4 linked regions of the Struthio camelus genome follow. The protein of the gene in region 1 purifies or fractionates together with the protein of each later gene. This does not show direct contact. Links are inferred from orthologs where the notes say so. Each region holds a gene or a part of one and is shown in the gene's direction. Other genes may lie near its edges. The genes, in order: EXOC1, EXOC8, EXOC6 and EXOC3.

Region 1 (7,669 bases):
TTCTTTATATAAAGATATCAAACACACTGTGTATTGCTAGGCTGATCTGATTGCACTGTAGAAAGTCTGTGTCCTGAGGTGCGGCAGACTCACTTTGTGGTTAGTATCGCACAGCTGGGGCACATGAGAGAGAGAATATGCTAAATTTTAAATAGAAAAAACTGACAGGCTAGATAGCCAATCTTTGAATTGATTTATCTTTCAAAATTGTTTTCTACATCACATTTCCTGATTTTGGTTATACAGTGTAGTTTGAAAAACAGTATTTTGGGATTCATCTGCTTCTTCTGGAAGACTTCTCCAAAACTGAATAGGGAGAAACTTATAGGAGAGTAAAGGATAATCAGAAATGCTTTTGTAGCATTCCTATAAAAGGTGTCAACTAAATGATGGAGTGCATTCTTACTCAAGACTCTATGTAGACTACATTCAGAATACAGGAATTGCTATCTGCCCTATCTGTGCTCCAGAGAAAAGGAAAAATCTAGCAGCCTGAAAGTAAAGAAGCGTGATAATGAACAAAGACGACTTTTATGCATACTTGGATAAGAGGCAGAGAGAGAAGAGAATCTCTCATAAAAGATGGATGATGCTTTTTGTCCTAAGAAGTATCCTGTATTTTAACTTTTAAACCAGTATCAGAAATAAGAACAGGTGGAAAGAAAAAGGATTTAGGAATATTTTGTTTGTAATACTTACTGATATCATATACATCTCCTTTTTTCTGTACTTAAATGATTCATAAATTTCCTGCAGCTCTGTACTACAAAGAGCACTTAATATCAACATTTAGAGAAGATGGTGCCAAATCAACAAAAAATACACTGGTGATATTACACTGGTATTCATGGATGCAAGATAACATTGCACCAGCTAAGAGCCTCGAGCTTATATTTAAAACAGAAGAATTCTCTTCCTGTATGTTTATCTTTCATTGATAACTAATCTTTTCCTACATTCTATATAAAGAAAATATGGAAAATGAACAGTTACTTCTCATTAAGGCTGGAACTTATGCTTCTGTTCCCTCCTGCCCCCAATCCACAGGTCTAAAACCAGGAAAGCTCAGTCCTGGATCAAAGCAGACTTTTTAAAGCCATTTCTGAAGGGAAACAGACCAGGGCCTGCTCCAGACTGACTTCTCTGTTACTTCAAGTTCTTGTTCTCCTTTGCATACCGGAGTCACACATATACTGACTCATCTCATCCCAAGTATGCCACTACTCTCCTCATACTACTTCTTTCTCTGTCACCTGCCTATTCCCCAATACTTTCAGTTAGTTTCACAGTATAACTGTTGTATCTTCTCCCAGTAAAATGGGAGTGTATCATGTAATTTGTAATATGTAATTTTGGAATATTTTTTCACAAGTTAAGGCTCATATTGGAAGATCGAATCTATGGGAAGCTGAAATAGGAGGAGAGAGAGAATGGCACTGTGCATACTGTAAAATGATCTCATAATGACTGTTTTAACAAGTATAACCACATTTTAGCATTAACCAACTAAATCTTGCTTTTTGCACTGAAGCAGAATGAACAGCTAAAGACAGAAAACAAGGAGGGTTTTGGACTGTTAACAGTAAAAGCTTTATGCAAACCTATCCAATCCTTTATGGCTGCTTTGTCTAGTCTTTATAGATCCAGGCAAAGACAGTTTCATTTTGTGGGTGAACTGAAAAATTACCAAACTGTAACTTCTCTCTTAACCTTGGCCCTCATGAATGATATATTACAGAAGAAGTCTACAGCATGCTGTTTTGTAAGTCAGAAAATAAAAGTACATGCAGCAAGACTGTATTGGTCAGTAACATTTAATGTTTTCAGTCAAGCGGGAAGCTAATAGAATAATGATGAGATCACCATTTTATCTGTTAAAAATCCACATGTATTGGCAACTTAACTATTATAACTTGGAAAATATATTTACTGTTGCTTTGTATTGGTAATGGCCTGGCTAATAGATTTTATCAATCATACCTTAAAGCCACAGTGATGCATTAACGTGACATAAATCATATAGTTCAAGTAATCTGTAATGTTTTCAGTCTTCTCTTAACTCTGCCCGCAGGCCTTCAAAAAAATAGTATATTAATTTATATGAATAATGATAAAAATGAATGAGGTATATTGATCATGTGAAGAACCTCCTTCACAGCAATAATTGAGCTATAAGGTGGTTTCCCACTGAATGCAACGGTGGCTACAAGTAGCTAAGCCCGGTTTTGGGCATCATTTCTCATGGTTATATTCCAAATGCTAGATGTCACAATTAGTCACAGAGTAACTTTTCCCTCTGACTTATCACTGGCATCAAAAACTCTGAATTACTAATGGCACTTTGGGATCGGGGGAGAGCCAAAATATGAGTGCTTTTCATAGAAGAAGTGATATCAATCCTAATGCTGTGGCCAAATTAGAGTTATAATTGTTCCCTTGCAGCTGCAATCAGATATAAAATTCTTTGTCACTTGAAATTCTGAAATACTGCCATGTTACAATGTTAAGAAACTTCCTTCAGTACCAGATATATCTGCATTTCTTTTATGTACACTGTAAAGGTCACACCTTTTTTTGAAATTGAAAATGCATAGCTCCATTAATGGTTAAATTCTCAGGCATTGTGTATGACAGGCAACAAAAAGTGCAGAGTATTAATTACTTAAACTTCATGACTTCATTTTAAAAGTGTTAGGTCATACTAAGCATTTTAAAGACTGTACTGTTTTTTTAGATCTCCACAGAGAAGTTGCGAAATATTCATTTAATGTATCATACACCTAAAAATCCATTTGTGATAAGAACAGTTTAATCAGTTTAAAAAAATGGAGGAGGGAAAGCAGTAAATATGGAACACAGTTGTACCGACTGATTACTTCCTGAAAAGCTGTGGAGAAGGATCCAGACATGCTTAGATCTTACCATCTCAAATACCTTCTGTTTACATTTAAAATTGCATTTAGGATTCAGTGTTATGAAAGTTCATCCCATTTCCAAGAATTTTTCAGTAGAAATCCACCCACAGTTTTAAGAGAAAGAGAAGCAATTCTTGAGTTCTGGCTAGCCTCTAAATTCTATCTATGATAATAAATTAGTGAGCCATTTTTAGTAGATATAATTTTCAAACATTTTAGTTGAAACCTCCTCCACTAGTTTGAGAAGTGCTATGAGAGAGGAGAAGAGCAACTAACTCCCATCCTGTTCCTGCAAGTCAACTGCTGGGGGAAGGGAGATGCTTCATGGTATCTGTAGACAGAGATCCTTGATAAGTCTTCTCTAGCTCATCACAAATTACTACAGGTAATCAGCAAGAAGCAACTATTTAGATAGCAGGTCTCAAAACAATCTGTCCAGAGAGTTGCTAGACAGGGATCTGAGAAAACACTGACCTGTAACAAAGAACGTGCTACTTGTATTTAACCTAATTCATTGATAACATAAACTAGGGTAAGGCTATTCCAAGATGCAACAAGGGTAAGAGGATACATGAAGCGAGGGTTGACAGTCCATGCTAGATATAATAAAGCTAATGTGAATGGAAAGAATAACATCTAGGAGCCTTTTTCCTCCCCTAAAAACATTTATCTCCTAAAAGATGTAGAACTTCTTAATAACTCTGCCACGAGGCCAACTGATGACAAAAGAGACATCAGAAACTAGCTGACATTGTATCAGTTTTGCTTTTGGTGCCATCCATGTTATTTCTCCCAAGATACTACTTAACTATTCAGCTACAAACTCTTTGGGGGACAAGAGTTCAGCCTTCATACTTGCATGTAAAACACCTATCACAGTTAGTAACACAGAGAGATTATGTCTGCATTATTTTTGTTGCTACTTTATGACTTGCAATTACCACAGACAGCTATGTTTTACAAAACAGCTGGCCGAACCTAACAGCTCACTGCTGCTGGAGGGGGCACCTTCCCCCTAGCTCTTCAGCCTCCCAGGAAGCTTTTCAGGTTCTGCTCTCATGAGCTGAAGTAACTCACCTCAGAAGCAGGCACAAACCACCTCAGGGAGATACACCTGGGAACACGGGGAAGGAAGCAGGACCACCTTTTTGCAAGGCAACGAGACACCAGAGAAACACAGGGGCCTCGTGAGAACCTGCCCAACCATTTCCCCTGCCAGAGAGTGGCTACGGAGCTAGAGGGGTTCACCTCAGGCTTAGACATTTAGAGGGCACCCAGGCAACGCCTAAAAGCCACCACGCGATTACAGCCTCAGCCTAGCAATGCCACCTACCCGCTCACTAGGCTTTTATAGCCTAGGCCGGCTGAGCACCGCCCCCGCCAAGCCCCGCCGCGCCACACGCCGCTCCCGCGGGCACCGCCTGAGGAAGGAAGGGGACACGCCCTAACGGCCGCCGCCGGCCCCGCCCTCGCCAGCCCCGCCCCTGGCGCTGCCCGCCCTCCTACTGGCTCGCCCGCCCCTCCCTCTTTCGTTGCCCGCCCCCTTCCCCCCGGCGCCCGGGTGCGTTGCATAACTTCTCCGGTAGGGGGCGCGCGCGCGCACTCGGCCTGGCGCTCTGTGGACTTTCTAGCGTGTAGTCTCGCTGCTAGGCTGGGGGGGGGGGGGGCGGTGCTAGGGTCACGTGAGCGGAGGGGGCCGCGGCGGCGCAGCTCGGCGGCCGTTGGGGGCAGAGCGCGGCGGGGGTGGGGAGGGTCGCGGCCGGAGCCGGAGCCGGAGCCGGAGCCGCCGCGTCCTGAGGCGGAGGCGCTTCCCTTCCCGTCTGGCCCGGCCCGGGGTTTGCGGTGAGAGCGAGGCGGCTCCGGGCGGCTGCTGCCGCTCCTGTTCCCGGAGCGGCACCGACATCCTCTGCCCCTTCCCCCTCGCTAGGTGTGAGGGGCCTGCTCCGGTCCCCGGCGGCCGTGTCCGGGCTGCGGGCGCGGGTGGGGCCGTACCGGAGCGGCGGGCGGGCCGGGGCTGCGCCTGTCTGCCGCCAGCGGCCGCGCAGGGGGTCCGCGTCTCTGCCCGGGGCCCTTTCAGCAAGGCTCGCAGGTGGGAGGCGGCGGGGCTGGTGTCGGACGGGCGGTTTCCAGCCGCGGCTGCGATAAGTGACCCTCCTGAGCGTTCCTCTTACACGAGTGGTCTTTTGTTTGACCGTTGGCTGTGAACGAGCTTCCCCGGAATTTTACAGTTAGGCCGCGCTCTTACATTAGGTTATTACCTGATACGATATACGAGTGTTAAGAGTTTCCTGGTTGCACACGTAGAGAGGCCAAGCAGTGCACATTAAGTAGCCTGGCTGAGTTGCTCTGTTGAATCTCTCCTATATATTTCCTGTCTGTGAGATGATGTCTTTGATAGATTTCATGCAGAAGAGGCTTTAGCATTACCGTATTGAAAAGATTATTCCAGCAATCCCACAAGGGACTTATTGGAGCCTGAATTGGGCTCAGCTCTCTCAAAGCGTTTTTCTGAGGAAGTAGCTTTGTCTCCAGCTTCTTGTATCTACTTCTGTGCTCTGGGATGGCAAGGGTTGTAAGTCATGGATGAAGACTGCAGTAATGTACTTGGTCCTGACTCACAGTGAAGGTTTTGGGGCTGTGACTCAGTGTTGAACTAGTAACAGAAGTTGGACTATATGTCAAGTATCTGATCTTGGGATTGATGTCTCCTCTTTTATAGGAAAGGTGTATTCTGCACAGCTGAGAAACTTTGCTTTAGCAAAAATGTGAGGATCAGTGAGTAGCAGCAGTCAGTCTGAATGTGGTTTAGAGCAATAGGTGAAGTCCTGACCAGAAGAGAAAGGTGATATTTCCAAAATTAGCAGGCTGTTGGTACCTTGTGTGTTCATCTTACACATCTGTTGAAGAATAACTGAAATGACAACCTGAAGCAATTTTGGAAGAAGCTGGACCAAGCATTTGAAAGGAGAGGAAAGGTGTTAGAAAGCCGTTAACGGTGGAATATTACAGTGCCGTAGAGATGTCATATAAACAGCATTTTTCTTGAATATCCTGAACTCTTGAGTGCTTAGCAGTACTGATTTCAGCTTGGTATATTGGCCCTTTTCCCCCAAAGCACTTGGGTTACTAATTGTTAAAATTTATCTTGGACTTATTCCAAAAATAGTTGGACTTCTATCTATATTATGCATGTCTAGATTATGATTCATTAAATTACCTGTAAAATGTATTTTTTAAAAACTGTAGTTGCTATACCTAAACGTATGTTCTTATTGTATGTTTTAGTAGCCTCCTCAGTCTACTTGAATGTAGTATGAATTTTTGAAATTTTTCAGCTGGGAGAAAATGACTGCAATCAAGCATGCTTTACAAAGGGATATTTTCACTCCCAATGATGAACGCCTGTTGAGCATTGTGAATGTATGCAAAGCAGGCAAAAAGAAGAGAAACTGCTTTTTATGTGCCACGGGTATGTCGTAATACCACATGATATTTTTGTTTTCACCCTTTTTATTCACTTGCTTTTTTCTTAGCTTTATGTACAATATTTATTCTCGCTCCTTATAAAACAGATGCTTCCATTTTTAATGGAAAAATTAGTTGTAGCTTATATCTGTTATTGCTTCTATTAAAACAGAAACAAAACCCTTTGCTTTTACTCTCAGATCTTATTGTAACTTGCAAGGAAGGAATCAAAATTATTTGTGTTGGACTGGGTGGGCTTGTGAAGCAGGCCTTGTATGGTGCTTAAAAGGAGATTTAGTAGATCTCTAGACTGATCAGCCTAAACATGATGCAGCAAGGAGTGCTGGTTAGAGTCCAAGACAGAGGGATCTGGAAAGGCACAGGATTTTAACTGAGTCCTAATGTTCCTTTGAGAGCACGTCCTTTATATTACACCTCTTCCAAGAAGGTGCTTTTGTCCAACTTATCAGTAAATTAGCTGACTGGATTTTTTTTTTTTTTATGACGAATCTCAGAAAGCATTTTTAATCAGGCTAGAATCTCCATTGACTTCTTTGTTCCCTCAGTGATGTGGCAGTGCGGCCATAGTTCTGCTGCACCAAAGAAATAGGCATAAATTGGCTTCAGGACTTGAGAAGCTGTGCAGAGCTGCACATCTGGATGACTGAAATTTAAACTGAGCTGTGGGTATTGAGGATGAAACTTGTTTCGAGGGCTCTGTTCTCATCAGATATAAAATAAGCTTAAGTATAGCAGAAACAGATGTTAATGTAGTTTGAGTGTTTCAAAATTGCTCTTATACTTCATTTAACAGTGACAACGGAACGTCCAGTGCAAGTAAACGTGGTAAAAGTGAAAAAGTCTGACAAGGGAGATTTCTACAAAAGACAGACTGCGTGGGCGCTTCGAGATCTTGCTGTGGTTGATGCCAAAGATGCTGTTAAAGTATGTGTAACTTCTTTTAGTGCGAACTCTACTTGGGACACTTTTACTTCCAAGTCAGAGCTAACTTGGCTATTCATTGTCATACAGCTTTGACTGATAATGTGTTAATTTGGGTTTAAGATGATACATGTTTATTGTATTTTCTTCCAGCCTTCCCAAGAATATAACCCTAGTAAACTGAGTCTGAGTAGTGCAGGTATGCTTGAATTGAAATATTCTGAATATCTTCCCAGTTTACTGTGAGCGTCTCTTAGGTTCTGTATAGTACTTGTGCTAAGAACCAGTACTTTTTTTCTGGTTCAAGTCCTGTGTAAATTTTGATTCAAAAGTTTAGTTTCCCTTGA
Region 2 (7,623 bases), on another chromosome or scaffold:
TTTGGACAAGAACAGCTTGGAAAAGAAGAACTATGTCGAATACCTTTGTCAGTTGACTTGGAATTTGACAGTTTTGCTGGCTGGGTTTTCTCTTTGGCTTTCTTGGAAAAGTTTTCTGGTTCCTTCACTTTTGTAAATGTACCTCCACATGTCTCTTGATGCTCCACCCACCAAAAGTCTCGTGCAGAGGGTGCTCTGTTCATCGAACGTTTCACATATCCAAAATAAGGTTTTCTGTATTGACAGGGGCCGTTGCATCGCCACCAATGCTGGCGATATAAATCCACTTCATCATGAAAATTATGATAAATCTAAGTTAAAAAAGAAAAAAGCCAGTAATTCAGAAAATGTATAATTTTATAAGTCAGGAGATTAATCACTAGCTCCACATTTCTTTAAAATGTAATAGTGCTCCATTCCTTTGTAATACAAGCTAAAGTCCTCCTGCATGCCAGGAAGGAAAAAAATTGTCCGTCTGGTGATAAACTGACACACTACAAAAAGCCCTTCTCAAAGTGTCATCTTCCTCCCAAAATAAACATAATTTATTATAGTAACAAACCTGAAGTCTGATAAATGGTCTGTAATGTGAGAAGCACTTGCATTGTTCCAAAGCTTATCCCCCTCCTGGACAATTGTTTTTTCTACCACTACTGTGAGAAATAGCTTCTCCATCTCTCCACCATCCTGTTTTTAATCTCTTCATGACTTTCACGTTATGTGCTATTTAGAATGCACTGTAGACAATATAAGGATTTTGAAAATCAAACTGAAAGAGCAGTATAACAGCATAACAAAATAAATTCTCACTTCATCATCTTAATTGATCGTCAGAGACATGAATTTTAAATGCCATGTTCAATCACCCATTAGCTCCTATTGAGACAAATCTTAACTGAAACAGATTATTCTGAACTTCTGTACTTCAAGTTTAAAACAAACTTGAAAGGAAAATACTTTCAGAAGGTGTATATGATAATTACATGAGTCTAACAACCCTCCACATCTTCCTCAACACGTTCCCTTCACCATCACCAACAAAATAACTACTGAACTGGCAAGCAGTCCAATGTAAATTTGTATTGGTGTCTACTAAGAAATACAGGTGTATTAATCATACCACATTTGGACTATTCAAACACATGGTACTAAAACAGGGAAAAAGTTGTATTACACAACATTAAGTGGATTGTGCTTACCGTGACATTGGCTCCAGTTAAGCGATTAATGCGACGCATGTGTTTGCGGAACTCTGGCCCATGAGATTCACGATCTTTGTCATTATTAGTAACAAACAGCAGGGCATGGATCATTTCATGTAACAGTGTCTGAAACAAGGCTAATCATCAGCTATTTACGGAAAGGCATTGCATACAATTTCTAAATTAAGCTGCAAGCACTTTTTAATTTATGCTACTCTACATTAATCTTGGTACTCTTTGCGTGGTACCTTACTCTCACGCGTACACTTGTTCAATCTCGGTTATAAAAACATAACGCTTATTCTACCTGCCAAATCAAATCAGCTATTTCCACACAACCTAAACATGCTAAAGAATGTTATTTTAACATTTGATTCTCCAAAGAGGTAGAAATAATCCCCAAACTCAACGTCAGATCTTCAAGAAGATCACCCCCTCCTCACCACCAAACAAAAGAGACTTTTGAGAAGAACGCAGAAACTCTGCAGCACTTCCATTCACTAAGCAAATCCAAATGTTGAGGCAACTCATATAAGCAGATCTGGCAGAGGCACGAAAAGCAATGCAAAGGTATGTTCACAGTCATAACCCATAGCCCTATTTTCTGTTAATGGCCTTTTAACCTAAAAGGCGAAACTAAAGCATTTTCTCAAACTTTCTGGGTGTATTTGTGGTTTTGATATCGTAGGATAGCTTTGGAGCTAAAAAGAAGTCTTTTCCCCCTTTATAAAGTGAGTAAAATAAACAAGTGACTGTAGACTCCCATTCAAGAGTTTTCCATTTAGAAACATACAACTGAGAATACTATAGAATTGCCCATAAAAGCAACACAAACATAGCAATAAAGCCACCGCTATTTTGTAATCTATAAGTCACTGCTCATAAGAACGCCATAATAAAATGTAAAATGTGTGTGCAGGGAAGGGGTTAATACATTTTATGTACAGATTAATGAACAATCTTCAAATACCTCAACAAGATCCTTCCTTGGTCTTAACTTCAGAAGTGGCTCACTTAGACGAATGGAACACATTCCACCTTTTCCTTCATAGCTACATACTCCTGCACAGCTGAAAGAGATGCAGAAACAAAATATAAGTTACTTGATTCTGTAATATATGAAGAAAATTGAAAATCAAGAGTTAAAATGCTTGCCTCTTCCAATACATGCTAAATAATTTAGAATATGAAAGACTGTTAGAAGCTACTCGAAGAACTCAAGTTCATTAACCAACAAAAAACAAGCAAATTCTTCAGAATAAGCTGTTTGCGCTACTAGAAGCTCAACTGTAATTTATTAGATGTCTTACAATCACTTAATTCAAAGCTAACAATCCTGAAAAATCACAGTAGAATGCTCCAAGCTCATTTGTTCATGAGGTAAATTAGCGTTCTCATTCAGACTCCAGATGGAGTGAAAAACATAAAACAGAGGCTGCTCTTTCACAGCAGCCAACACTGACCTAGCTGCTGGTTGCTGCAGTTCAACCCTCAGCTGCACACTCTCCCCTGCACAGCTGCACAGTTCTGCCTCTTACTGGACTTTTACATGGTCACTTCAGCACAGTAATACAGCAGAAAACATTTTGCTGTTGTTGCATTAGTTTTCTGTAAGCACAATATACTCAAATATTTCCAAATGTGCAAAGAGCACTGCAATCAGCAAAGGACAAGGAGGGGGAGGGACTCCAACATCCTGCAACTGTATTAGCTGATCTGCTGCAGAACTGCAACCTGCTTTTATCTTTTTTTTTTTTTAAGTCTACTCTAAATCTTGTTAACATGCTCTTATGCATTTATTCACATTTGCCTTTCTACTATGCTGTAAAACTATAAAAGAAATTCAAAATAGCAACAAAAAAACTCACCAATATAAATATGTTTAAGTAAGTTTTCAAATACACAATTTAAGACCAATTTATTTATTCCACTATAACAGTTTTGTCTGCACACTGAGAAAGCCATTTATGGTTGCCCAAGCTTACAAATGAAGGACAAAATAGATACCAACTGTGACAGATCCACATCCTGGGCAGAGGTACAACCTATGTTAGAAAAAACAGGAAACTCCAATACCTAGAATTTAAGCTGTGGAACTGGTAAGTGTAGTCTACTAAGACATAGTTAGTAACAGCATATAGTGACAAGCGACAGGTCGGTTTTCCTCCTTTCCCCAAAAGTCTAAGACTGTATCGTGAGATGAATTATTGTTTGCTTGATCAGTCACAACCTTTTCCAAAGGCTCAGACACAGCAATTAAGAACTGCTTGGACTGTTCACGAAAAGCATCGCAGCTCACTCATGACAGCCTAAGTCTCTGCCAGTGGGAAAACTGACGCTAGTGAAAGCGCTTCACCATGGCTGCTCTAGGGGCTCAGGAAGGACCGGCTTCCCGGCCCCGCCGCTTCGCGCCCTTTTCTGGGCGCCCCCCGAGTACTTCGGCTCCCCGCACAAGCGAGGGCTCTGCCTCGTTGCTGGCCGCTTTCCGTCAGGGCCGGGAGCGAGGAGGGGCAGGGCGCACTCACACGGACGCGACCGAGAGCCTGCGCTCTCCTCCCCACACAGGGCCACCCTCAAAACCAACAGGCAGACGAAACAGCCCCACCCCTACAACCGCCTCCCCCAGCCGTTACCGTACAGGGTCATACGCGGGCTCCACGACACCTCCACCGCCGTCAGGCGCCCCCAGAAGAGCGCCTCGTTGAACTGCACGAAGAGGCCGTGCACGTCGGGGCTGGGGTCCAGCAGCTCCCAGGCCTCGTCCACCACCGAGAGCGGGCGAAGCAGCGAGGAGTCTAACGAGGCCTCAGGGCACGCAGCGGCGGCCGCCGCCGCCTCCTTGTCCTCCGCTTCCCACAGCTCCTGGAGCTGCAGCGCCAGCACGAAGTCATCCTCCTCCTCCATCCTGAACGGCACCGACGCCAGCGTCACCGCCCGAGCTGCTCAACCGCCGCCCAACCGCCGCCGCCGCCGCAGCCCAGGAGGCACCCAGCCACTGCGCACGCACACACCAAAAGAGCTCCAGCCCCGACGCACACTCCTTGCGCCACAAACGACGCGCCGCCGCCGCCGCCGCCGCCGCCCCGCTCCGACTACGCATGCGCTCGCCCTAACGGCGCGCCCACTAGCGCTGCTGCTCCCGGCTGCGCGCATGCGCACAAGCCGGGCCCGGCGCGGGACTCCTCCTTCCCGGCGCGCGACTCCTCCTTCCCTGTGCGCACGCTCGCGAGGGCTGAGGGCGCTTCCGCTCTACGCCTGCGTCTGCGCCTCGCCTCGCGTCGCTCCGAGCCGAGCCGAGCAGAGCCGAGCGCGCGTGCGCGGCGGCGCGGCGATGCTGGCGCAGGCGGCGTACGTGCCGCTGTGCGCAGGCGCAGCAGCGGTCTCCCCGGCGGCGGCGGCGGCGGCGGCAGGGCGGACGCCGCGCCGCGGGGCTGGTGGCGGGGCGGCGCGGCGGGGCGGCCTCGCCGCCGTGGCGGTAGCGATGGCGCTGTCGCTGGGCGAGGGCGGCGGGAGCCGGCTGCGGCGGCAGCTGGAGTCGGGCGGTTTCGTGGCGGCGGAGTACGTGAAGCAGCTGTCGCAGCAGTCGGACGGCGACCGGGACCTGCAGGAGCACCGGCAGCGCATCCAGGCGCTGAGCGAGGAGACGGCGCAGAGCCTGAAGCGCAACGTCTACCAGAACTACCGGCAGTTCATCGAGACGGCGCGCGAGATCAGCTACCTGGAGAGCGAGATGTACCAGCTCAGCCACATCCTCACCGAGCAGAAGGGCATCATGGAGGCCGTCACCCAGGCCCTGCTCCTCCAGGCCGACCGCGACGACCCCGCCCTGGGCGCCCGCCGCGCCGCCGCCGCCGACCCCTTCCTGCCCCTCTCGGCCAAGGAGGCGGCGGCCAGCGAGGAGGGGCGGCAGCGCACCCTCACCACCCTCCTGGAGAAGGTGGAGGGCTGCCGCGACCTGCTGCCCGAGAGCCCCGGCAAGTACCTGGTGTACAACGGCGACCTGCTGGAGTACGACGCCGACCACATGGCGCAGATCCAGCGGGTGCACGCCTTCCTCATGAACGACTGCCTGCTCGTGGCCACGGCCCTGCCCAACCGCCGCGGCGCCTACCGCTATGACGCCCTGTACCCCCTCGACGGGCTGGCCGTGGTCAATGTCAAGGACAACCCGCCCATGAAGGACATGTTCAAGCTGCTTATGTTCCCTGAGAGCCGCATCTTCCAGGCCGAGAACGCCAAGATCAAGAAGGAGTGGCTGGAGGTGCTGGAGGAGACCAAGCGCAACCGGGCCCTCAGCGAGAAGCGCCGCCTGGAGCAGGAGGCCTTGCCCCGGCCTGCCCCGACACCCCCCGAATCTACTAACCCCTTCGAGGAGGATGACGAGGAGGACGAGGAGCCCCCTGCCGAGGAGGAGATGGTCGACCTCTCCCTTGAGTGGATCCAGGAGCTGCCTGAGGACCTGGACGTCTGCATCGCTCAGCGGGACTTTGAGGGGGCGGTGGACCTCTTGGATAAACTTAACGAGTACCTGGGGGACAAGCCTGTGAGCCAGCCTGTGAAGGAGCTGCGGGCCAAGGTGGACGAGCGGGTCCGGCAGCTCACGGATGTGCTGGTCTTTGAGCTGTCTCCGGACCGCTCGCTGCGAGGAGGGCCACGGGCCACCCGCCGGGCTGTATCCCAGCTCATTCGCTTGGGCCAGTCCACCAAGGCATGCGAGCTCTTCCTGAAGAACCGTGCGGCTGCTGTGCATACGGCCATCCGACAGCTGCGCATCGAAGGTGCCACGCTGCTCTACATCCACAAACTCTGCCATGTCTTTTTCACCAGCCTCCTAGAGACAGCAAGAGAGTTTGAAACGGACTTCGCTGGCAACAATGGCTGCTACTCTGCCTTCGTTGTGTGGGCCCGTTCTTCCATGAGGATGTTTGTAGATGCCTTCAGTAAGCAGGTATTCGACAGTAAAGAGAGCTTGTCTACTGCAGCAGAGTGTGTAAAGGTAAGAGTGAAAGGAAGGTGGTGTGGCATGGTGGACTAAGCAAAAGGGGGAAAGCTTGTAACCCCCCGTTTCTAACCCTAGCTCAGTTGTGGACTCGGACTTTGAGCATGTTGCTTGAAAAAGTTTCCTGCATTGACGAGTTAAGATCATTCATTTGGTGTTTGTTTGGCGCTTTTTTTAAATTTAACCAAAAAAAAAAGCATTTAAGACTAATAAAGTACAGAGCAAGAGAAAACCTGTGTTCACTCTTAATTTGCCTTTGTCTGGTAGGAGATCCTTAAATTTACACAGTTTATCTGAACAGTGAGTACTGTGAACACTTGTGTTTTCCAAGCCTGTACTGGACTATATTTCCTTAATTTTTTTCAAGGACTTCAAGAAGTCCTTAATTTCTCAGGTTATGGTATCTTTCAGCTGCTAATAGGAAGAAAAAAAGGTTTCTAATGTAGTTGTCTGTGGCATTTTTGACAGGCAAGGTTTGTCTTTCAGTTACTGATTTCCCATTAAAAAGGAGTTTCTTAGGGTAGGAGAAACATGTAAAACATAACTAACGGTTCCCGGTTTTCTGAGAATGAAAAATTTGGTAAACTTTTAAAATGTAAAGGGGGAATGCAAACTGATAACACACTTCACTTTTCATTAATACCCAAGGTAGCTAAAGAGCACTGCAAGCAGCTCAGTGAGATTGGACTGGATCTTACCTTCATCATTCATGCCCTTCTGGTAAAGGATATCAAAGGTGCTTTGCAGAGCTATAAGGATATCATCATTGAGGCCACCAAGCATCGCAACTCTGAAGAGATGTGGAGAAGGATGAACCTAATGACCCCAGAGGCTCTGGGAAAACTCAGAGAGGAGATGAGAAGCTGCGGGGTAGGCAATTTTGACCAATACACTGGTGATGACTGCTGGGTCAACCTTAGCTATACTGTGGTAGCTTTCACTAAGCAGACTATGGCCTTCTTGGAGGAAGCGTTAAAGCTTTACTTTCCAGAGCTGCATATGGTTCTTTTGGAGAGTCTGGTGGAAATCATCCTCGTGGCTGTGCAGCACGTTGATTACAGTTTACGGTGTGAACAGGACCCTGAGAAGAAAGCATTCATTAGGCAGAATGCATCCTTCCTTTATGAAACTGTCCTTCCTGTTGTGGAAAAAAGATTTGAGGAAGGAGTGGGAAAGCCAGCCAAGCAGCTACAGGATCTGAGAAATGCTTCAAGACTGATGCGTGTAAATCCAGAAAGTACCACCTCTGTGGTGTGAAGTCAAGTAACTGTTCTCATGAACAGTGTGTGAGAGCGCTTACAGAAAATGTTGTACATTAAATATGAACTAAATCTTTTCTGGATCCCTGAAAAACTTGGAAGTCTAACTGCAACCTTCCTGAAGCTGAAAACTTGCAATCAAAACCTGCAGTGATGAAAACCT
Region 3 (7,188 bases), on another chromosome or scaffold:
ACCAAAAGTAATCTACGCTGGAATTATACACCCAGCAGGCATGACTCTATATTATGGTACATACTACTCTTTTTGTAATTGTCACATCAGTAAACCGTATTTTTAAAGCATTACCCCAGACATGCTAGATTTAAACCTCAGAGGCTATGTTAGTGGAAATATTGGAACAGGAGTTTTTGGCCTTCTGTATCCCCAGTCACGAGACAGTTTGGGGTGGAGGAAGAGCAGATCTTGGAGGGGAAGGAAAGAGAGAAAGGATGTGGAGAAAGCGGTTTTGCTCTGGATAAGCCTCTGCATCCTGCATCACAATCTTGTTTTTATTTGCCTCAATTTTCCTTAGCTCCTGACTGGCCTGGGCATATTTTTGCCCAGGAAAATCTCAGGATGATTGGAGAGATTTCAGCTGCGATTTGTACAGCTCACAGGCCCTGAGGGTTTCTGGCTGTGCAGGCTGTAGGCAATGAAATATCTCCTTCACAGGAATCGCTGGAATTTAACAAGCCTAGAAAAATTCTGCCCTTTTCCAGTCAAGGACTTGTAGCAGATTAATACCTTCTCAGGCTTCTTGATTAAGTTGGGTTTCAACCAGTACAATATCAAGCCTCAGAAATGATTATTCCTACTCTCCCTTTCAGCTTAGTGGATCTTGTACATTTTTCAAAAATAAAATAAAAAGAGAGAAATTAATCAACTATTAAGTACTTATCGTAGTAATTCTTTGCTGACAATGTACAGGCAAAATAACTGAACAGGTTATGCATAGATGTGCAGTTCAGATACACCACCCTACTAAAAGATTGTGCCGTGTCATAATACAGCATTTTTCTTCTTTTATTTCTCAGAAAAGTTTTCTTCCTTGGACAAGGCAGTTTCCTAAAGGCTCTTGAGAGTGACCCTGAACTCACCTGGAAAAAGGTAAAGCTTATGTATGACTGAAAGACACAGACTTTGGGCATGTATAATAAGCACAGGAGGGGAGCAGCAGAAGATGGAGATGGAGAAGCAGAACAGGCTGGACAAGACAGCACAGGGAAGAAGCAAAATCTCCTGCAGCAAAAAGAGCTTTGCGCGTTATCGGCCATAATGGACCCTAGCCCGTGGATCCTTGAGCAGATACAGATCCACCACCTCGTGATCCTACAGCAACTGGAGCCTCCGAACAATTTCAAGGCGGGTGCAAACCACTCTGGCGCGCCAGACGGCCAGTTCAGGTGCAGTTCACTCTAACTCTGTGCACCCAAAGGGAAAGGGAAGCCATGTACCTCTGATATCCAGTTCCACAACCAATCAGATTTGCATATTTCTTGGTGATTCATTTTTGTATTTGTTCGCCCCTTTTTACATTGTTTTGTTTTGTTACTAAGCTTACTTATTTGCAGGCAGCTGGGATACCTGCAACAACATCTGTACAACAAATTAAAGCACTGGTTTTTTTTAGTTTATTTATTTCTAAAGTAAGCTTGTGTGTAAGATTTTGGGATAGAAGAAACTACATCCAAAGCCTCTGTAAGTATCAAACTCACTTAAAATCCCCCCAAAAAACAATCACAAGAGCACTCTTTATATGGCTTCATGCTCCCATCGCTGCATCACGTTTTTTCTTGCAAGTCACTGTGTGTGATGCCCAAGGCATCTCCGATTTATCTAGCTCGCCTGTGCTCAGCCACAGCGACAGCAGATGCACTTTCTTCTATCATGGGCCATGTTATCATGAGCCACTGCAAAAGAAAATAAACAAGTGTTCATCCAAATAAAAGTGGGTAGACATATCTTATTGATAGCCATGTTATTTGGAAGAATAAAATGCTTACAAGTCTGTTTTTGAAATTAATAGAAATTATTCAAAATCTTGCCTAAAAATAACTTTTGGTATGCGCAGATAAATGCCAAACATTCTTAGCATCCAAGGACTGTGCTTCTTTCCAGGACATCCAATATAAGAGTAAGATGCCCCCAAGGGGCACTAGAATTGATCAACTTTGCTGATACGTACACGTCGTTATTTAGTTAACCAAGCTTTGCAAAATAACGACGTGTATGTATCAGCAAAGTTGATCAATTCTAGTGCCCCTTGGGGGAAACAATCCAATCTTGGCCACTTGCAGCTTGTGTTGAAGGCAATGGGATCAAAACAGACATCTCGGAGACGAGCAGGCTCTGGTGGAGCAAGGTGTAGAGCAGAGGTTAAGGTAGGTGATCTACATCGCTCTGTGGAGGACCCTGTCTTTCCCCTTTGACTATGGGCAGAACGGAGAGCGCCTGATCAAATAAATAAATTAGGTGCCAAAAGGTGAGTGTTGCGGCCCCACACTGTGCTTTTCAGAAGAGGGCCAATAGCTTCTGTGTAGCGCTTTAGAGTAAATCTACGGCCCAGACTGTGGTAAGACGCTGCTGCAGCAAGCTGTTATTTTTTGTGTTTAATGTATGTTGATTGTATCAAATACAGGAAATTCATTCATCAGTAATTAGCAGCTTTACCTCAGGTGAGCAATAACCCGCAGTGAAGCTGCTGTAAAGCTGTGAAGACAAGATGATTGCAAGGAGCCTTCTAAAACTATCCATCTAGCATGTATATGCAGCGACAAGTTTGGTAAGAAAGGGGTGAATCCAGAGGAAGTTGTAGTGGGATGATCGTTCAGAACTTTTTAACTTTAAATCAGAAGTGTAGTATGACTGACAGAGCTAGGACAAACGAGTTCATAAATTAGAAACCAATGCCAATCAGTGCAATATTTTTTGCAGTTATTAAATTTACTTTTACAGGAGCCTCACATAATTAGTAATTAATACTTAACCTAGCATCTGTCAAGATGAGAACGGGTAGTTAAGATATCCTTTCATCTGCATTTGTGTGACATCCAGTGGCTGGATGGGTCAATCACAGGCATGCATTTCTTGCTAAAGGTGTAAAAATAGCTCACAGCGCTGTTTAGAACACAAAAGCAGTAAATCCGCTGAATATTCATGCTAACAGAACAATTGCTTAATTTTGGCTTCAAAATAAACAGATGATTAAAGACGCTTATTCAAGGGAAGACTTTACAAATTTGGATGCATGTAACACATTGCACCCTTTAGAGCACTTTCTGAGGTAAACTTGTCTCAGTATTCCTGCTGGGCACAGAGAAGTGAATAAACAATATATTGCCCAAGTCCGGAACCAGTAATTTCTGTTTTCCTGCATTTAACTGTTGACTGCACCATGAGTGTCAAAACTCATATTAATTTCATCGGGAGCGGTGCTGAGATAAGAGCTACATTTTCATTAAAATCTTTGAAAAATCAAAAATAGACACGTATCGTAAGACTGACTGTGCCATATAATAAAGAAGGCTGATATTAGACTTCCAATAAGTTTTCTAAATTGAAGGATCTAAAACTCCAGCCTTTGTTCCAAATAACTACTTGAAATTTTTGCCATTATCATAATTATCTGATATCAGCATTGCTCTGAACGTTGTAGGAGTCCATCCTCATTCTTTTCCCTGCAGGAATGCAACGCACGTAATAAATGAGTAACTGTTTACTGCATAGGGGAACACAGCCATGTAAAAATCAGTTATCCTAGAGCATTCTTTACAAGCTGTTACTATAAATAGCATCTACTAATGCTAAAAATGAAAAAGGTGAGAACATAAAAGTTGCCGTGCTTTTTTTCAGCTTACTTTATAAAGTCCATAAACCTGCTTCATAAAAGCCGCCAATTACTTGTTTGTACAGGCTTTTTACACAGCAAAAGGAAAAATTCAATCTTCTATAAAAACATGATTTTAACCTCACAAAACTTGACAGACAGAGTGAGCATTGTGGGCCAGTGTCTGAAATGACTTTAAAATTGTGTTTTCAAATTGACTATATTTCAGGCTTTGTGCTTATTACTTGTGAACTACTGTGAGGATGTAGAAATACTATTTTTGCCAGTAAGTTTCATATTCAGATAAACGGAATACACACACACACACAAAGACCGTACAGGCCTGGGTACTGCGTACGAGGCAAATGTTACTAGCGGAGACAGGAAAACAGCAGCTGTGCACCATTCTTGGACACAAAGTCCTCAAGAGTCACGAGGTTAGCGCAGGATCTGTTTTTTCATGCCTGGTTTTGCTGACTGCAGTCACTCAGTCAACGATAATAATCAGAATAAAAGTCCTCTCCTAAAGTTAGACTAGTTTTTATGCTCATCTATGGCGAGGAAAAGCAAGTCAAATATGTCAGAGTTGTATCTAGAAGACAACAAAGATCAGATATACGAAAATGCCCTTGCTGAGATCCAGTCCTTTGAGCTGCCTCTGGGAACCACGCTAAGGTATGCATCGTTTAGATCATATTATATCGTTCATGATGGATTTGCTCCATTCTATAGCTGTTCTTGCAGTCAGCCCAATGTATTAGAAAGTTGATTATCTTGACACTGACATCTACAGGAAAGTTGTATTTGATTCCAATGCGATTGGCCCTAAATCAAAAAGTATAAACTGAAGACTCAACTCAACTCTTTCTTTTTATCAGGACAAAGCTGTTAGTGAAGGCGGGCTGCACGTTCTCTCTGAAGAAAGAAATTACATTTAAACATGAAAACAAGGGAAAAATCACTTTTGTGTAACAGAGTGCTTTTAGTTTGAGGTTGACAACTACATTTTTTAAGAATAATTAATTGCTTCTAATTTTTGTATTTTTACTGAATGCAACCTTCTCTCTAAAGGCACAGCTACTCGGAGTAAAGTTTAACTTAGGGATATCCCTAAATATCTGAAGATTTTAATATGATTTAATTTACAGCTTATGGAAATAGTTTAATGGTAGAAGCGCAACTGAAAAAAATCCTTTGGATATTCATCCCTACAGAAGTAACATATAAAAGATTATGATGTTATGAGCCTAAGTATATTGTTAGTATCTGTAGAAAAGATTTAAAAATAGCCTGCCTGGGATTGTAGGAATCGGGTTGCAGTGACTACCAGGCTAAAGAAAGTAAATTTAATTTACCCTGAAAAATGTATGCGTCAGTCTACTAAAGTAATTTGGTGACGCAAAAAAAAAAAAAAAAAAAAAGAAGAAAAAAAAGGACGTGGGAAAATTGTTACTGCAGTTGAGTGATTTCTTGAAGGAAACACTACTGCAGAGAGAGCCTGTAGGATTTTTCCTATTTTCTTTCTGCAGTACACACTTTGTAGGCACTTGTCTACATTTGGAATACTCCCTGCTGTTTCAGTAGGTGCCATCAATAAATTCAGCTGAATCAACAGCAAATATGATAAAACTACAAGCACAGACAAGATGTACCTAGTCTTAAGCGCCATTTATTAACTTAGCGTCCAAGCGTAGCTGCACCAGGGCAGGAGATACGGTAAGTTTGGTTGCAATAACTGGAAGGATGCTAAACGTTATTGTAGCTCGCTGCTGTCTAGACCTACGTGCATATATAGCTGTAAACTTCTGTCAGTTTTTCTTGGGAAAAGTAGCCAGACACCACTCTGAAGTTTCATGCTAAAGGCCTATCTCTTTACGCTGGCTTCCCAGTTGTGCACAGCTAACTTTGCCCTGAAAGCAGGTGTATCCTGTCTCCTGAACATGCAAAACCCAAGGACTAGCTCATCTTAAGCCACAAACCACAAAGTGTATAATTTAAATAGAAAACGAGTTATTCCTTCTTCATTGAAAAATGGAACCCCATTGTGCACGCGCGCAAGGACAGCCGAAGACAAGCTACAGCAATGCAGGAAACAATATGCAAGTTTCTAGTGAACCGGATAAGCTGGGGAAGCAACGCAGGGCGATGCTTACGCAAAACGGTGCGCTCCCGCAGCACGGCTTACCTGCGCCCCAGCCCCCCCAGTCCTGTCTGCCGAAGACAGAGAAGAGGTAGCTGGTCTAAACTGAATAATCATAACAATGGGGGGGGGGGGAAGGCCTAGCACTAGGCCTGGTACTAGCACTCGGGGCTGGCGGCGCTGCACCTGCCGCCTCGCTCCGGGCGAGCCCAAGGAACGACCCACAAGTAGCCCACCGAAAAAAGAAAAAAAAAAAGCCCCTTCTAGCCCCCTCGGCCTTGACGGGCTGCTCTAAAACAGCACCGCGAGGACGGCGCAGCCGCCCGTGCAGGGCAGCGCCCGGGGTGCTGCGGCTCCCCCTGCCGCGGCGGCAGCCCGGGACAGCCGGTCCCCGCTGCCCGGGCCGGCGGAGAGGCCGCCGCGGGCTGAAGGCCATCGCCGGGCTCCGGCCGGGGCGGGCGCGGCCCCGATCCACCTGCCTCTCCCCCGCCTGCCCCGCTCCCGCTCCCGCTCCCGCTCCTGCTCCTCACCTCACCTCGGCGCGGCCGGCCCGGCCCTCCCCGCCGCCTCCCTCCGCCCTCGGTCCCGCCCCGGCGCCTCCCGCCGCGGCGCGGCCGCCGGGTCCCTCCCATCCAAGATGGCGGAGAGTCTGCCCGAGCATGATCGGATCCTGCAGGAGATCGAGAGCACCGACACGGCCTGCGTGGGACCCACCCTGAGGTGAGGGCGCGGGGCGCCGCGGCCGCGCAGGCTCCCCCCCTTCCCCCCCGCCGCGCCATGCCGCGGCCCGCCCTGCCCTGCCTTGCCCTGCCTTGCCCGGCCCGGCCCGGCCCGCGGAGCCGCCGCGGCCCGGCAGCCGCGCTGACAGCTCCTCCCCGGAGACACCGCCGGGGCCGCCCGCGCCTGCGGGGGCGCCGCGCCCGGGCCCGGGCCGCCCCGCGGTGGACGGTGTCAGCGCGCCCGGCTGCGGCGGCCCCTCGGCGGAGCGGGGCCGGGCCGGGCCGTCGGGCTCGGCGTGGGGCTCCCCCGCGGAGGAGGAGCTGCCGCGGCGGCGGAGCGGGCCGGAGCCGAGCCCCGGGGCGAGCCGGCGCGGGCGGAGGGTCGGCTCTGGGCTGCCGGGGCGGTGCGGAGGGGCGCAGGCTCGCCTGAGGCCTCCTGCGCCGGGCCGCGTCCCCTGCCCTGGGCATCTGGCGGCTGGTCGGAGCGTTCTCAAAACACCACAATTTCAGTGATTATATATGTGTGTGTGTGTGTGTGTGTACATATACCTTTTTTTCCTCTCTAATTCTTTTTTTTTCCCCTACTGGCTGACACACCAAAACGGTTTTACTTAACCTTTCCTGTCAGAGAGAAAGACGTTAGTGCCCCCCGGCCTGAGCTGAGGAGAGCAGGGCAGAGCCCGGAGGCAGGAAAT
Region 4 (7,177 bases), on another chromosome or scaffold:
ATATTATAATGCCTTTTAGAGACCTAATGGCTGTAAGCATAAAAATATGGCTTTTACTGTATCTTTGATAGCAATTTTTTTCTTCTGTCTTAGTAAAGATACTAGATGTCAAATGCCTGTTGTTTCCTCTGTACTGTCTCACTATCACTGACACTTTGTCACAGTGACAGTATTAGATGACCAAACATAATTTAAGATAACCTAAATAGTGTCTGAGATTTAAAAAAAAAAGTGTAATATTCTGATAGTGTTACAGAAAAGCTTCTATTTTTTTAAATATACTTTACTGTTTTCACAGCCTATACATATCAGACGTCAGATATCATCTCACCTCACTAGCGAATTATGTATGTAATTTAAAAATTGTATTTTGCAGGAAAATTGTGAGATCGATACGGCATAAACTAAACTAACATCTGTGCATAGATCATGAATAGATTCAGAAAGAGAATGTATTTTCACCATCTGAATTACGTTAGTGAAAGTGGCCTGTTCAGAGCTCTAGATTGATTGGGCAAAACCAATTTCACAAATTAAGCTAACTAATTCAAAATGAGGTGAGATATTCCCATGTGATGATGCAGACATAACCTTATTCAAATATTCTTAACCAATATTCATTTTCACCTTGGCAAAGAAAGGGGATTAACCAGTAGATGACCCTCAAAATAACATTGTAAGCACAAGAAGTAAAGGGCCTAAGATCGTATGCACTTTTGAGTAGTTCATTGCTCTTGTTCCTTGAAATTAACAAGATATTAATTGAACTCAGCACCCTTCAGTCCTGGGTCAAGTTCTGCCAGCCAAAGAAGACTTCAAGAATAACCTGTAAAGAAGAAAATTTAACAGACCGAAGCAGTTGAGTAACCACCATTTTGGAATGAAAACACTTGCCAGAAGAGCACCAGTCAGAGGTGATCCTGTGACAGCAGATCCTAGCTCAGTGCTCCTTGTCTTCAAGACACCTCTACGCCTATGGTGCTTACTTTCCGCGTCTAGGACAAAGAAGTGACCAGTTATAATTATTCTTATTCAGGTATATGTGCAATAAATGCATTTACAAGACCTGCAATGATGTTGGAAAAGTTACCACATTCTGTCTTAACATCTGCTGGCTAACCTTTTTTCTCAGGCTAGGAAAAGTTAGACATGAAAGGACAGCTAGAAAAACTATGCCTCAGCAGAAACTCTTAGAAGCCTCTATAAGAAAAAATGTCTCATGATGGTTTTTATCTCAAGTTTAATTTGCAAGGAATCCCCACTGATAATAGCAGAGGTAAGAAAAAGCAATTTAAAGGACTAGCTTGCAGAAGTCAGTTCTGGAAAAAAATCACAGGCTCTTTGAAATATTGCCACTTTCCATTCTTGCTATTGTCTCTCAGTTATTCCTCAGCTGTTGCTTCTTTATTCTTCAGATATTCCATGCGCTCAAGTTGTTAAAAAGCATCTGCAAGTAGCAAGTCTGCCAGAGATGCAGAAGACTGATAACCAGGATTTATAGGGACTGCTAATATTTGCCATGAAAACAGTACACTTATCATTAGCGTGTGTAACTATCCATTGCTGATCACTTAAATCTCCTTAAGAGCTTTTGAAGCCCTTTGATTTATTTAATCAACAATTTATTGTATGCCTTTATTTTTTTCTAGAAATTATGATTTGTATATTTTAAAGTGGTTTTAGTAACATATAAAACTATTAATGTTGTCCTGATACTTAGTACAAGCACTTTTCTGCAGCCTGCCACCTTATTCATTTTTTGTCCAGCTCTCTCCTTTAATTTACTTTTAATTACCAAAGCATTCCTAAATATTGATTTATCTGTCCTTAACAGAAATATTGTATTTGTTGTCTTTAAAAATATTTAATTGAAAGGCACCAAGAATACTATTTTTAATTACTACAGCTTGGTCTTTTCCAAGAAAAGCAACCAATTTATTTCTCAGATGATGATATTTAGGTCCTATCCCTTGAAGCGAGTAATATCTTCAACAGAGCATGCAATAGTGATAATTAGTGACTCACTAATTGCTTAATTGGAGCTAATTGGAACTATTGCTTAATCTATTCTAAAACATAAATAATAAGATTGTGACTAAAATTAATATTCTAATAACATCCTTATAAATTTTCTTGTAGATTGTGTCTGTTTTGAAATGAAGTCTCCTCCGAGTATGCTATTGAAAACTACTGTCACTGTTAATATATCCCAAAAGAGAGATGCCATACCAAATGCCACACAATCAGCAGTTTTATTTGAATGCTAACCCATTAACATTGTTCTAGCTTTTACGACAAATGCAACAAGCTCAGGAATAAGCTAGTTATTTGCTAAGGAAATCCCCATTATTCTTTTCTTAGAGTACTATTCAATTTAGTTCCAGAAAAATGGCTCTATGCAAAATATATATGCCTAGCATTTATGGGCATCTGTTATAAATTCAAACATTGTACTTAATAATCAGTTTCTCATTTTATCCTTGAAAAAGTTATTTCCCTATAAAGCGTACATGAAGTGTTTGCCAATATTTCCTCCCTTACCTTTTTTTATAGCAATGAGAGGTGGACAGAGACCAATGTCAGGTTTGGAAGAAAGCTGTGTTTCTTTCGGTTCTTCTTCTGATTCCCGCTGTGCAAAGTGATAAGGAGAAGAACTAGGCTTAACTCTTCCCTCTAGTTCAGTTTCACCTCCCACTGGCTCCTCCATCTCCAGCACCACATAAAATAACCTAAATTAACAGTACAGAAAACAAACAACTGGACAATGTAACACTGCAAGGACCAACCACATCTTCAGTATTTTTATGCCCATTATAGCATCCCATATGATATATTAGTGAGGAAAAAAAAAACATTTCCTCTATCTACTTTTGGTAATTTAAAAGGAGAAGATCTAGCAAACCAGTATCATTTTCCAAACAGCTTTAGCTGGCAATCTACAGAATAATAAAAACCCATTCAAGTTTGCCCATTAACAAACCTTTAATTCCACAACTATCATTTTTCTCTGACCACTCAAATTTCTGGAGGTGGGAACTCACCCTTTGAGGGAGAGGTTAAGGTCCCTCTTGTTAAGAGCGCTGCAGGTCCAAAGCAAAGCTTTGGGCACAGAGTGCTAGGTGAGGCACTTGCTCACCCCCAGATGGGATGCCTTGCTGGGTGCACGTGGCCTGCTCAGCTGCTATGGCAACCCTTACACAAACCCAGCTAACAACCTCGCACCCCGAAGGCACCTCATTTGCCCCAGTCTCTCACCACCAGTGAAGCTCTGATTTTGTAACTGCTCCCAAGGATTTTTTTTTTTGTTTGGCTGTTTTTTCAAGCAACGTACTTTTCTCTTAGCAGGAAATAAATCTTTAAGGATATAGTTTCCATGAGCCTCTTAAACGCACTGTTGCTAGGAAACATGTACACAGCAGAGTTATACAAAGAGCCACAGGAGGGCATAGCTAGCTGTATCCCAGCAATGAAGTAACGCTTCTTAAACACAACCCTTCTTGGCAAAATAACAACCACCTGGCCTCTGTGTAAAATATGAAGAGATACAGCTAAGAAAAATAATCGAATGATGACTTTCTCTTTTTTTCTGCTGGGCAAAGTCACTTGTAGATAGAGCTGAAAGGTATCACGTGGTTCCCAGGTTCTTAGGTAGCTGATACCTAAGACCTATTGCTTTTGTAGCAACATATTACCATTTTAACTGAAACGTTAAATACCTGACAAAGCTTCTACATCTTTTTTTCACAGACTCTGAAAACCTTGACTTAAGGTCCCAAAATATTAACAGCCACCTCAAAACTGAAAGACTGCAAAAACAATCAAAGCTTGAGGAAGAGGGGGAGGTGCGGCCTGCAGCCCCGCAGGCTACCGAAGCCCCCCTCCCCATAAGGGAGCAGCCGGCGTCCCCTCGCTCCCGCCAGCTAGGTTGCATCCCTTAATAGTCTACCCATACGCGTTTACACAACCGCCTCCACACCAGACTGAGGCTACTTAGCGAGAACAAGGCAAGCCACTCCACCGTCACTACAGAGCCAGAGGCGGTACCTCCCTCCTAGAGTAGACTTTTTAGAAGCATGAACATCCCCTTCCCGCCCCATTTCCGAGCCCGCGCAGGCGCAGACCGCTGCCCTAACAGGTGAAATGGTAAGTCTAGCCCGCATGCGCACTAGCCACTAGTCGTGGGTAAGCGATGAGCTTTCTTCTGCGCTTGCGCGCCGGGTCTTGTGCCCCTGGGTGACCGTGGCGCTTGCGCGCTGCGTGACTGTCACTGCCCTGCTGGGGAGTAGGCTGGAGCCCGTAAGTAGTGTTTGGGGCTCCTGCTCTCCCACCCCTGGCCCTGCGCCAAAGCCCCAGCCGGTGAGCGCTGCGGTGTCGGCTCCTGCTAGGCTATCGCTGTTTGTAGTGACCCGAGCTTTTGCTCGAGTCTGGAACGGGAAGTGGAGGGGGGCCGGGCCGAGCTGAGCGATCCGGGAAGCCTCTCGGGATCATGGGGCCGAAGAGGGGCTGAGGGCTCCTCCTGCGCGCTGTGGCGCAGGAGCCCTGTCCGCGGGCCTCCGCCGAGGCAGAAGGGGCGCGACCATGGCGGGTCCGCAGCCTGGCCTGCGCGCTCGGGGCAGGTCTCCGGCCTTTGCCTAGCAGCAGCGGGCACCTTCGTCGATGCCGATGACTCGGGTTGCGCGGCCCCGATAGGGAACGGGGCTGGGCCGGGGGTCGCCGCCGTTTCCTGTGTGCCGTGTTAGGAGGGGAAGCTGCGTGGTGGGGAGGCTCGCGCCGGGGCGCAGGCGCTCCCCTGGGAACTGGTGGTATTGCTCGCTGGCTTCTTGGTTTCACAGTTGGAACCTCGGTGCAGAGGATGAGGGGATGAGGGTATGCTTGCTACTGAAGCTTTTCCAAGATTGCTTGCTTGCTTTCTTCCTTCCTGTTTGTCTGTCTGTCTTTGTGTCTCGTTCCAGCACATAGCTCTGAGGATGTGTGTGGTTCTGGCTCGTAGCCAGAAGGTTGTAAAGGTTGGCATTGTTTCTTAACGTTTGCTCTTATATGAATAGGTAGCAGTTGTACAACCTGTGTACCTTAGCAAGCTGGTATGCAATCATACCAGCTTAGGTGTGATTACCTAAGCTTAGGGTGTTACGGCATACTGGCTTCTAACTTTCTTTGTGGGACATACTTAATAGACCAGGATAGTGGCTCTGTGAGTTAGAGTATAATTATATTGAGTGTATCCAGATTTGTTAATAAAGGAAGTAATTCAGCATAAAACTATCTGCCATAGATGCTGTTTCTGTAGTAAGTCCATATTTAAAAATAACAGGTTTTTTTGATTGTAGATATGTTTGTGACAGCTTAGGAGTGGATTGAGCTAAACAGAAATAGGGTATTTGTTACAAAGTGTGAGTGGTAGGAGTAGATCCTCTATTCTGAAATGTGGAGTAGGAAATCAAACTTAATTTAGGGTAAATGGGTTATTAGCAGAGAAGTGATGGGTATGTTTGCGAAGCTGAGGGGGTAAAGTAGGGTATGAGTTTATACTGCAAAAGTAATTCTGTTATAAACACTCTTTAGACATGTAATTTTTGAAGGCTGATCATAAAAAAGTCAAACTTGAGAAAGAAATAGACTAGCTTTTGGGTTAACTGTACCTGAAATCTTTCTTAACCCTGCAAAGTTCTAAAATAGCTAATTCTAATAAAGCTAAAACTATTATAATGCAGGAAAAATAGAGGTTACTTATGCTCCATATTAATGTGAAAGCTTTTTATTACTGAGATGTTACGTTATCCAAGAATAAATGCTGTAAAACCAGGAAGTTAACCATTAATTCAAACAGAAGTCTATGCAGGTTGATGTGAAATGTAATCGAGACTCTAAAACAATTTTAGTTCTGTGACACATAATATCTTTACAGTAACGTGGTCTTTATTCTGCATTTAAAATGTAATTAACTGTAGATCAAACTGATGTTTTAAAATTTCCTTCTTTCTCCTTCCTGAGACCTTAACAAATTTTACAGCAGTACTTATTCAAAATGTTTGCCGTTGCCTGCAAGTTTCTCTACTTTTTCTAGACTGATGATTTAGACCTTATGTGTCAGGTTATGTAATATCAATGCCTAGGCCTACAATGGTTAGAAGGCCCCATGCTGTGCAGTAGTAGTGGAGGAATATAGCTGCTAGCATGGCATTATTAGGGTAAGACTTGCGTTAATTCCACAGTTCTGTGCACCCTGTATGGTTCTTCATCAGATCTCAAATTAAGTTGGTAAGCTGTTGCTGATGCAGAAGATCTTAAGGCGGCATTACAAATCAATAACTTACATTTGCTGAAAACAGCGAAGAGGGAATCAGATTAGTGAGTCTTCCTCACAGAAAATTGATCGGTTTCTTCATACTGTCTTTCGTGTAATAAAGCTGATAGTTCATTTTTGTCTTTAACACAGCTTATTCTTCCAGAATTTCCTGATGGAAATTAAACCTTTTCTGTTTAAGGGTGCTGGCATGAAAAGTTGTACTTATGAAACATAAAGGTAAAAATGACTTGATTAGTGGATTAAAAGTGCTATACAAAGGTTATGTGTTAATTTAACATTTGTTAATGTGTTAATTTAATGTATAATCTGTCTTTTTTAAAATTCTTGAATATAGCCTGTGTATGATCACCAAATATTAACCAGGAAAGGTATTAAATTAGGATAAGGATTTCAGTTAAGACCATCTGAAAAAAGTGGTTCTTAAATGTTTTCCACACACATACTCATTACCTCTGTTGTCTCATCTAGATTGTGCTGATGTTGGAGAATGTGATATAGTATTTCCTGCCTTCCATGTGGAGTCAGGATATTACAGATGTAGAGTTTAAGTGATCTACTGAATATACTAATGCACTGTGCCTTGAAAGTTTTTAATGTCAAGGAAGAATATGGATTTGACGGAATATGATTGTCATAGTAACAGAGCAGAACCTGGAAGCATCCTATTTGATTCCAGGAATCAAGATATAAAATGTTTCTTACCATCTGGAAGGAACCAGGAACTCCAGATATGTTCATATCTTGTGGAGTTCTATGCATAGCATGTTCTTGCATTTTCAGTGATTGGGATCGTTCCTGTCTTCCATGAGTAGCTAGTGAAGCATGAAAGGACAGGTCTGTTTCTATTGCCAGCAACTTTGCCTGTTCAGC

What was found.
Region 2: the proteins of EXOC1 (region 1) and EXOC8 purify together in Homo sapiens (affinity purification with mass spectrometry; 3 studies listed by BioGRID and IntAct, counting the BioPlex papers as one, with this or other methods). This does not show direct contact. The link is inferred for Struthio camelus from reciprocal best matches to the Homo sapiens genes EXOC1 and EXOC8.
Region 3: the proteins of EXOC1 (region 1) and EXOC6 purify together in Homo sapiens (affinity purification with mass spectrometry; 4 studies listed by BioGRID and IntAct, counting the BioPlex papers as one, with this or other methods). This does not show direct contact. The link is inferred for Struthio camelus from reciprocal best matches to the Homo sapiens genes EXOC1 and EXOC6.
Region 4: the proteins of EXOC1 (region 1) and EXOC3 purify together in Homo sapiens (affinity purification with mass spectrometry; 5 studies listed by BioGRID and IntAct, counting the BioPlex papers as one, with this or other methods). This does not show direct contact. The link is inferred for Struthio camelus from reciprocal best matches to the Homo sapiens genes EXOC1 and EXOC3.

Annotation. Positions count from the first base shown.
Region 1 is NC_090945.1:56,369,991-56,377,659, reverse strand, and holds the start of EXOC1 (exocyst complex component 1), read left to right. Parts: upstream 1-4,666; 5' UTR 4,667-4,757; exon of another isoform or gene 4,758-5,004; intron 5,005-6,250; 5' UTR 6,251-6,260; coding exon 6,261-6,384; intron 6,385-7,194; coding exon 7,195-7,325; intron 7,326-7,669.
Region 2 is NC_090944.1:91,124,660-91,132,282, forward strand, and holds the start of EXOC8 (exocyst complex component 8), read left to right. Parts: upstream 1-4,621; 5' UTR 4,622-4,683; coding exon 4,684-6,198; intron 6,199-6,849; coding exon 6,850-7,458; 3' UTR 7,459-7,623. Other genes in the region: DNA-dependent metalloprotease SPRTN, read right to left, coding at 44-311, 1,200-1,328, 2,173-2,272, 3,841-4,106. UniProt on the Homo sapiens protein: Component of the exocyst complex involved in the docking of exocytic vesicles with fusion sites on the plasma membrane.
Region 3 is NC_090948.1:19,088,721-19,095,908, forward strand, and holds the start of EXOC6 (exocyst complex component 6), read left to right. Parts: upstream 1-4,178; 5' UTR 4,179-4,187; coding exon 4,188-4,309; intron 4,310-6,337; exon of another isoform or gene 6,338-6,411; coding exon of another isoform or gene 6,412-6,494; intron 6,495-7,188. UniProt on the Homo sapiens protein: Component of the exocyst complex involved in the docking of exocytic vesicles with fusion sites on the plasma membrane.
Region 4 is NC_090943.1:75,388,938-75,396,114, forward strand, and holds the start of EXOC3 (exocyst complex component 3), read left to right. Parts: upstream 1-4,171; 5' UTR 4,172-4,296; exon of another isoform or gene 4,297-4,356; intron 4,357-4,468; exon of another isoform or gene 4,469-4,866; intron 4,867-6,436; exon of another isoform or gene 6,437-6,523; intron 6,524-7,177. Other genes in the region: dynein axonemal heavy chain 5, read right to left, coding at 895-995, 2,542-2,729, 3,717-3,931. UniProt on the Homo sapiens protein: Component of the exocyst complex involved in the docking of exocytic vesicles with fusion sites on the plasma membrane.